2 linked regions of the Nothobranchius furzeri genome follow. The protein of the gene in region 1 interacts with the protein of each later gene in a biochemical or structural test. Links are inferred from orthologs where the notes say so. Each region holds a gene or a part of one and is shown in the gene's direction. Other genes may lie near its edges.

Evidence for each region.
Region 2: the proteins of pstpip1a (region 1) and ptpn18 form a complex in vitro, tested with the Homo sapiens proteins (2 studies listed by BioGRID and IntAct). The link is inferred for Nothobranchius furzeri from reciprocal best matches to the Homo sapiens genes PSTPIP1 and PTPN18.

Annotation. Positions count from the first base shown.
Region 1 is NC_091744.1:68,453,561-68,457,941, forward strand, and holds the start of pstpip1a (proline-serine-threonine phosphatase-interacting protein 1a), read left to right. Parts: upstream 1-1,293; 5' UTR 1,294-1,404; coding exon 1,405-1,434; intron 1,435-2,094; coding exon 2,095-2,195; intron 2,196-2,268; coding exon 2,269-2,343; intron 2,344-2,458; coding exon 2,459-2,493; intron 2,494-2,591; coding exon 2,592-2,698; intron 2,699-2,799; coding exon 2,800-2,862; intron 2,863-3,152; coding exon 3,153-3,257; intron 3,258-4,381. Other genes in the region: rcn2 (reticulocalbin-2), read left to right, coding at 626-769. UniProt on the Homo sapiens protein: Involved in regulation of the actin cytoskeleton. May regulate WAS actin-bundling activity. Bridges the interaction between ABL1 and PTPN18 leading to ABL1 dephosphorylation.
Region 2 is NC_091755.1:47,287,399-47,291,215, forward strand, and holds part of ptpn18 (tyrosine-protein phosphatase non-receptor type 18), read left to right. Parts: intron 1-825; coding exon 826-864; intron 865-944; coding exon 945-1,013; intron 1,014-1,122; coding exon 1,123-1,185; intron 1,186-1,254; coding exon 1,255-1,397; intron 1,398-1,791; coding exon 1,792-1,858; intron 1,859-2,293; coding exon 2,294-2,371; intron 2,372-3,025; coding exon 3,026-3,115; intron 3,116-3,615; coding exon 3,616-3,710; intron 3,711-3,817. UniProt on the Homo sapiens protein: Differentially dephosphorylate autophosphorylated tyrosine kinases which are known to be overexpressed in tumor tissues.

The DNA of each region.
Region 1 (4,381 bases):
GAAACTGTTTTTGTGGAGAGAGGTTCTGGTCCGAATGGTTCGGAGCCTCCTGTCAGATGGGAGCAAGTCAAAAAGACTGTCCAGGGTGAGACGGGTCAGCTGATATCCGACCTGCTCGCCTCAATATCCTAGAGGTGTACAGGTCATGTATGAAGAGGGGTTTACAGCCAATGACCTTCTCAGCAGAGCGTACAACCTGCTGCAGTCTCTTCATATCACTGATGGTGGCTCCAGCGTACTAAAGGCCTCAGATGCTTTAAGAGCAGACTTAACAACTATAATTTAGATCTAAAACGGTTTGATCTTCTGAATTAAGGAACATTTTTTTTACTTTTATACACATCTGCTACAATAACAAAGTGACACATGTTGGCCCAAACAGGTTCTTACACATTATCTCATAAAAACAGCAACCAAAAGTACATTCTGTCTTTATTGTACTTCAGTAAATTAAACTGTGGGAGAGCTGGAAGAAGAAATGATGCATCTAAAGTTAGGCTGTCTATACGGTGCATTCTTTTTGTAACATTTCTGTCTAACCCTCTGCTGTCCACTACAAGTTATTGTTTGGAGGCATCAGTTGCCATATAATAATTTTTCTGTTTTCTTTACTCGTCATTAACAGGCTCTTCACCTCATAAAGGAAATGGACCTTGATGGGGACGAACGGATTTCACTGGCAGAAGTTTTAAAAAACCAAGAGATGTTCATGAACAGTGAAGTGACGGACTATGGCAGACAGCTGCATGTGTCACATGATGAACTATAACCTTGTTTTTCATCTTTTATAGAAACACTGTTTTTAACTAAATCAAAATTTTAGTTTTTTTGACTGATTATGTATTTTGTGCAACTGTGGAAACATAAACTTATATTACAGCAGATGTTTTATGTAACAAGTGACAAAAATGACGTGTCCTAATAATGTAATAATGTGATGTTACAAACAAAAGTGCTTTAAAATGAGTCACCTCCAAATCAACCAACACAAAATGTACAAACTGCTGTTCTTTCCAGTTGAATTGACACATTTGATCGGAAATCCCTGTTTTTGTATCATCCTCTTTGTAAAATAAGGAGGAACTCATTAACAACTTTTAATGATTTATCAAATAAACAATTGATCAAAACACACCTTACTGGGGTTTACTTGAACAGTTTTTAAAAAATGAAGTGAAGTTAGTTTTAATTCTATTTCGGTGCCGGAGTTAGTGTCGTTGCTGTTGTGAGCTCGATTGTGTCACCTCTTCCTGATTTAAATGAAATGACACTGCGAGTGAGAGTTGCTGCATGAGGGTTTGTTTCCTGAGTGTGTCCTGATGTGCTGCAGTTGCATCGAAGCAGACCGCCAAGTGGCACAACAGCGTGACTCGCTAACTGGAAACGTTACCAAACACTACCAAGATGGCTTTACAATTTAAAGACTCGTTTTGGGTGAGTTGGCTGAAATTTGCTGATTCATTTTTAGATTATATTTTATGTTCTAAAAGGAACAATGATCTCTTCTGAACTGTGAACCTCATCACTTAGATGTCAAATTTATTGATGCTTTTTTGTTTTGTTGTATGAGCATTTTGGATCACAAGTCATTTTGAGTCTGGCTTTATGTTTTAGACGTCCTCTGGAGATTTCTGTTAGCTTTTATTGCATGAAAAGTCATTAATCTGTACTGTTACTGTTCTTAATCACTTGATCGTGTCTGATTTTTAGAAGAAAGATGGGTAAAAGTAACAAAGCTTTTTTTATAGTGTAGCATGCTGCGATCCTACCCTTGAGTGTATATTCACATAAAGTCCTTTTTTTAGATAATTTCCTGTTAATCTGGCAACTCTTTGAGATTTTTGTGCTCTTGATTCTCAGACAGTCATCGGTTTTACAGATGTGAGGAGTTTTAACACCTCTGCCACTGCTTTTTCCAACAATGCAACAGTTTCTGTTTTACTAAATATGGCATGCTCCCTACATGAGGAAAGAAGAATAATGCTCACCAGCTAATGATTGATAATCACCGCCTTCAGAGTTTATTATTAAAATTATTCATTAACTGTGTGTTTTAAACTGCAAAGAAAAAGATATACCTCACTTTTTCTGCAGGGAAAAGACTTTATCAGCTGTGATGGTTACGAGGCCATTATTCAGAGACTCAATGATGGTCGGCGGACGTGTAAAGACACGGAGGAGTTGTTGAAAATGAGGTAAGTTGAGTTAGTTGTGTCTGTATTTAGAAACTAATATTTAAAAAGTGTGTGTTTGTTGATGTTTTCATAGAGCTTCAGCAGAGGAGAAATATGGAAAAGAACTGGTTTCAATCGCCCGAAAAGCTGGTGGTCTGGTTGAGATTTGGTGCGTGCCAAAGGGTTCATTCGTGCCCAAATGCTCATAATTTATGGTCTGATGTTATGTTATGTGTTTATGCATCAAGTAGAGTGTGCAGTTATTTTCTTCTTCCTTTCTGCAGCACTTTGAGGACTTCATTTGATGACATGAAAACACGTAATCATACCACATTACCCAGCATGACTTGTTTCTCTGTTCTGTTCTGCTTTTGTATTTAATTTTTTTTAATATATAATGTTTTGTTTTCTTTGCAGAAATGGAAAATGTAGGGAACTTGCACATCCAGCTTTCTGGTCTCCTAAAGGACGAGGTGAAGAGAATGGAGGAATTCAGAGAGAGACAGAAAGAACAGAGAAAAAAGGTGTCGACTCCCCCCTCCTCCCATTTTTGTTGTGGGTAAAAGAACAAGGAAACGCAAAGTAAAGAATTTCTTCTTTCTAACATAAAAGTCTTGTCACCCAGTTTGAAATCAGCATGGAGAAGGCTCAAAAGATGAAGGTTTCTCTCTACAAGAAAACTATTGAGGTAGGGTCTCTTAGTGATTGGTGTTCTATCCTACATCTAAGAATCAGATCCTGTGATTTTTACACCTTACACATACAAGAACATTAAATAGACTCATTTTTTTTTTACTTTTTAAAAACTTCAGTTTATGTTGAGAGGAAGGAGGTGTGTGATATTTTTTTGCAACATGCACCATGTCTTCTTTTTTGACTAAATACCTCTGCTTCCTGTTGAGGGTTCAGAGTGAACTACTAATGAACATAGATTCTTGCGTCAGAGTTTCATTGGGTCTCTGTTTCCTGCATCAACAGTCAAAAAAATCTTATGAGCAACGCTGCAAGGAGGCGGATGAGGCAGAGCAAACGGCTGAACGGCTGGGCAGCGCTCCCACAGCGACTCCCAAACAGATCGAGAAGGTAAACAAGCTGCTTTATTTTCTTTTACAAGATGAAGGGGATTATGTCTCTAGCGTTCAAACTTTTTAGCTGCTTTATTTTTAGCATCAATTGAGCATTTTTTCTAGCACATAAAATAGTTAATAATTTGGGTCAAATTAACTAAAAAGCCAGTCAGTTTGATTCATCAAACTTTGCAGCAGTTAATGATTTGCCAAATTATGTATGATGTGTCAGAATCTGCTCCCCTGCCCCATCATTTGATCTTGTGCTTCCCTGTTTCCCTATTACTCCTGACCTGACTCTGAAATAAAAGAGTTTCTGCTGTCTTGGTGGCCTCTCAGAAGCGTATTCATCTGGATTTGGATCCTCACCTTCCTACATCATGACAATAAGAAATAAAATGGGCAGAAATACATACACACTTAAAGAAACCAAACAACAAATAACATGGTTACACATTGTAACCCCAGATTCTAAGAGTATAGACGCAGCCCTTTAAAGGCCTCATTCAGGAAATTTCTCTGAATTACTCAAATGTGGCCCTTAAAGGAGTAGTATGCCGTTTTGGCTTGCTTTTAGCACCCTCTAGTGTCCGTTAGGTTAAAAAAAGTGAAACTTTATATCATCTTAATCTAACTGCTGAAATGTCTCCTCATCCCGGTTTCACACTGAAAGCATCAGCAGGGCGGAACGGCAGCGGAACGTCACTGCTTCAAATTGAATCCATTATAGGAATGTTTCAAACCAGCAGCGACGCGGCAATTTCCAGGCATGTCCCAGAAGTGGCACGCCGCTTCACTAAAGACGGGCTCGGGTTCTATTTTTGCTGCGTGTCGCTTCTAGAATGCGTCAATTTCTAAAGTTAACATAGGGCTAGACAGGAAGTCACACACGGTTTTAGTGTATCATCACCGGTAAATTTCTAAATAAAAGTACTACAGCGATGCTCTTTCATATATGTGAAGCTTACGTGTGACCCAACGGCTTATTTACTCACAGCATCTTTCCACAAGTGCAACGGTGTGTTTTTCATTGCTTTAATCCTGACAGTGGAGAGGAACAGCATCATATATGACATCAAACAATGATATCAAATGTGATTTCATTCTTTGGTTTAATAGCGGATTGCATAAACAAACCAT
Region 2 (3,817 bases), on another chromosome or scaffold:
GCTAAAGAATAATTAAGTGTTTTTAATCTCAACTTAAATGTTTTTACATGTGTTTTTGATACCTTTAACACGATAAAAGGGTTTTTTTTTTCAGTCCAACTGCATCCGGAGAAGATTGATGATGTCAGAGCAGCAGAAACCTAAAAGTGTGGTTCACACTTCAAATGATTAAGTCACTCTGAGGGTTTCATGCAGGCTGAACATGAAAATAGTCTCCTACACCTATCTCCTGCATTAGCTTCTGATAGAAAACAGACGGTGAAACTCTAGGATTAGCAAATCCTGACAGATCTACGTCACACTGTCACCTAATGTTCATGGACTCACCCATCTGGACTCACGACTGGGAAGGCTGTCGTTGGTTTAGTCCAGGAAACAGCAGAGAACATCTCTGCTAGCACTGTTAGCATTAGCAACTCCACCACACAGCAGAACTCCTCTTGACTTGTGCTATCTGTAGAGTTAAATCATCAACATTGCAGCGCAAACAGAGTCAGCGGTAGAGTCGTGCTGCTGTTAGCCAATCAGAGGAGAGACATCTGAATATCAGGAAGTAAGACTCCCGATCCTGTTGTCTGAAGCTCAGCTGATGTGGCTCCTTTCTAGTTCCTGGAACGGGCTCACCGGCGCTTTTTCCCCGGAGTACGACACACAAGGCCTTCATTCCTACTAGAGACCATTGCACATGTGTTGATTAAATGAGCTACCCACATCTCTGAAGTGTGTGTTAACGTGAATGGATGATCACAAACTAATAAGCAGTCAAACTGTCCAATCAGAGGTTTTTACAGTCGGGCCCCTCTGACTAACACCCCTCTGTTTCAGGTGATAGTCATGGCCTGCAGAGAGATCGAGATGGGGAAGGTAAAGCATGTTTTATGCGTGTTTGTTTGATGTGTGATTGAAACAGCTGAACACTAAACATCCGAGCAACCTTCCTGCAGAGAAAGTGCGAGTGTTACTGGGCTGCAGCTCTCCAGCCAGTCGTGTTCGGACCTTTTACTGTCCGCTGTGTAAGTTCACCCACAGGTCACACAGAGGTCATGTTTAATTAACACGTAAATCAACAAGAGTCAGATTCAGTTTCAGCTCCTTGTCCCGGCTGTCCCTGTGTGTCTCCAGCAGGGAGAGACCAAACCCAACAAGGACGTCGTGGTCAGAAATCTGACCGTCAGCTACCAGCAGGTCCAATCCCAATTCTGACGTAAAACAAAGAAGCTGCTTCCTCCGTGACCTCCTCTTGTCCTCCTGCAGGAGACCCAGTCGGTGATCCAGTACCAGTACACATCCTGGCCAGATCACGACGTTCCCTCTGACACGGCAGGAATTCTGGACCTGCTGGACCGAGCCAGAAGCAGCTGTGGAGCTGACCCGTCACCTCTCCTGATTCACTGCAGGTGCACACACACACACACACACACACACACACACACACACACACACACACTGAACTGCAGTTGACTTTGTATCATTACAGCAGCTTGTTTGTAGCAGCAGCACTGATCACAGGTCAGCTGGTCATTAACATTTAACAGGACAGCGTAACACACGCAAGCACACACACACACACACACACACTCACACACACACACACACACATGCACACACTCACACACAAACACACCCACTCTAGAGCAGGAGGTGGTGAATATGCAGCAGGTAACACCTGCTAACGATGGCACAGTTAACATGCTCAATGCATCTGTTAGAGTCTGTGTGTGTGTGTGTGTGTGTGTGTGTGTGTGTGTGTGTGTGTGTGTGTGTGTGTGTGTGTGTGTGTGTGTGTTATAGTGCCGGCTGTGGGAGGACAGGAGTCATCTGTGCTCTTGACTACATCCATGACCTTCTGGTTGCCACGGTAACACATGATAACAACTCCTGCAAACCAAGCTCATTTAAAAAAAATCTCTTCGTAAACAAACGTAAGCCAGGACAGGTTCTGGGAGGGTTCCGAATACTCGGGCCTGGGTCCAGAACCCAAATAGGGTCCTCCTCATGTTTAAAGGCTAGAAAGTCCAGGAACCACTTGAGCAAACATCTGGGACCATCAGATCAGTTGGAGGTCCTCCAGCTGCTCCCAGGTTCCTCCGTGGCCTGAATCACAACAAGAAGTTAAAGAATCCATCATGGATCTGGTAGCTCAGCAGGTTCTCCTACAGCAAGTCAACCAAAAGAACCAAATGAAGCCTTGAGAGTCTCAGCTAGAACATGGGTACTCGGTCCAGACCGTCTGAGCGGTTCTGCCTCTGTGGCGTTTGTTTTTCTTCACCCTTTTGTGTTGTTGGTTCTGCAGCAGATTCCTAAAGGCTTCAGCATCCTGAAGGTCGTCCTGGAGCTCCGGAAACAGAGACCTTCAGCAGTGCAGACCCAGGTAGGCAGATCCACGAAGGCTCCTCACACCAGTCCCTGGTCTTACTCTAGTTCCTGGACCCGCTAGTCGTCACTCTGGTGTGTGAACCTGTTCTCCGCGTTTGACCCGTCTCCTGGGGGAGTGGTGAGCTGCAGACACGGCTGCACTCGGGAACCGTTTGGTGGTGTAACCCCACCAGTCCAACCTCTTTATGCTGAGGGAGACACTGGGTTCCATTTCTGAAAGTCTAGTCTACTAGTCCCTGGTCCAGACCAGTCCCGGTTCCATTTGCTTCTCTGAGTTTTCGTTGGAGATGGTTCTTCAAGCAATGCTTTCTGAGGATTTGTAGAGCTCAGTGGTCCAGGCTAGACCTCGTCCCTCACACCCTAAACTCCCACCAAATTCTTTGAACAGTTCCTGAGGTTCTGCTAGAAGAACCCAGGATCCATCCAGTGTGTCAAACTGGATCCTCCAACATCCAGACTGAAGTGGGCCTGTCTCTAAGACCATCAGAACCATGATCAGCTCATTAAAGGGACTCTTCACTCAAACAGAGACCCGTCCAACCCGGCTAAAGCACCTGCGGTGGCCGGACGTCAGCAGGTGGTGCTGCTGAAACGTTCCTCCACCTCAGACCAGTTCCAGGTGTGTGACTGGACTCTCTTTTCCATCCAGGACCAGTACCAGTTCATCTTCAGCGCCGTCATCCACATGTTGGAACGCTTCCTCCAGAAGTCGGATCAGCTGTACTGGAAACAGCAGGAGGTACGCAGTCTGAGCTGCTCGGGGGTTGGGAGGGAGGTGCCGTCGTGACTTTAGAGGAAGTTGTTCCACAGCTGCTGCAGAAACAGGAAGTGGTGACACTGATTTCCTGTTTGTAAATTCTGAGCCGCCCACAGTTTGACACAGGTTTGTCCAGAACATTCAGATGAGAGGAGCCAGGTAGGACATCACACACACACACACACACACACACACAGTTCGATCTGATGGGAGGAGCTGTTCAGGAGGTCGGAGGACCCCTGTACCCTGCTGCTGCTGTGCGTCTGATGGACCACCTGACCCTGAGTGGTTCCATCATGACGGTCTGTTCACTCACCTTCCTCCCAGAGGAGATGACGACGCTGTGATCTCTGGTTGTGTTCCTGGTGTCGTGCCCAGGACGCTGATCTGATGTTGAAACATGTTTTCCTTTTTTGTTCTTTTTAAACTATTCTGCCGGAAACAGAAGCTGCGAGCTGAACGGAGAAATTTTTTGTTATTAGGTGAAGAAACTTGAGAAGGAAGCTTCAACGCCAGCGGCTTTCTCCATCAACAGGTACCGACCCGCAGAGAGACAGACGGCGCGTTTCACCCCGAGGTGTTGAATTAACACGTTCTCACCCTCTTCTGCCAGTCGTCATTCCACCATCTCCATATGTTACCACGTTACCATGGAAACCTGTATGAGTGAGGCTACAGGAAGAG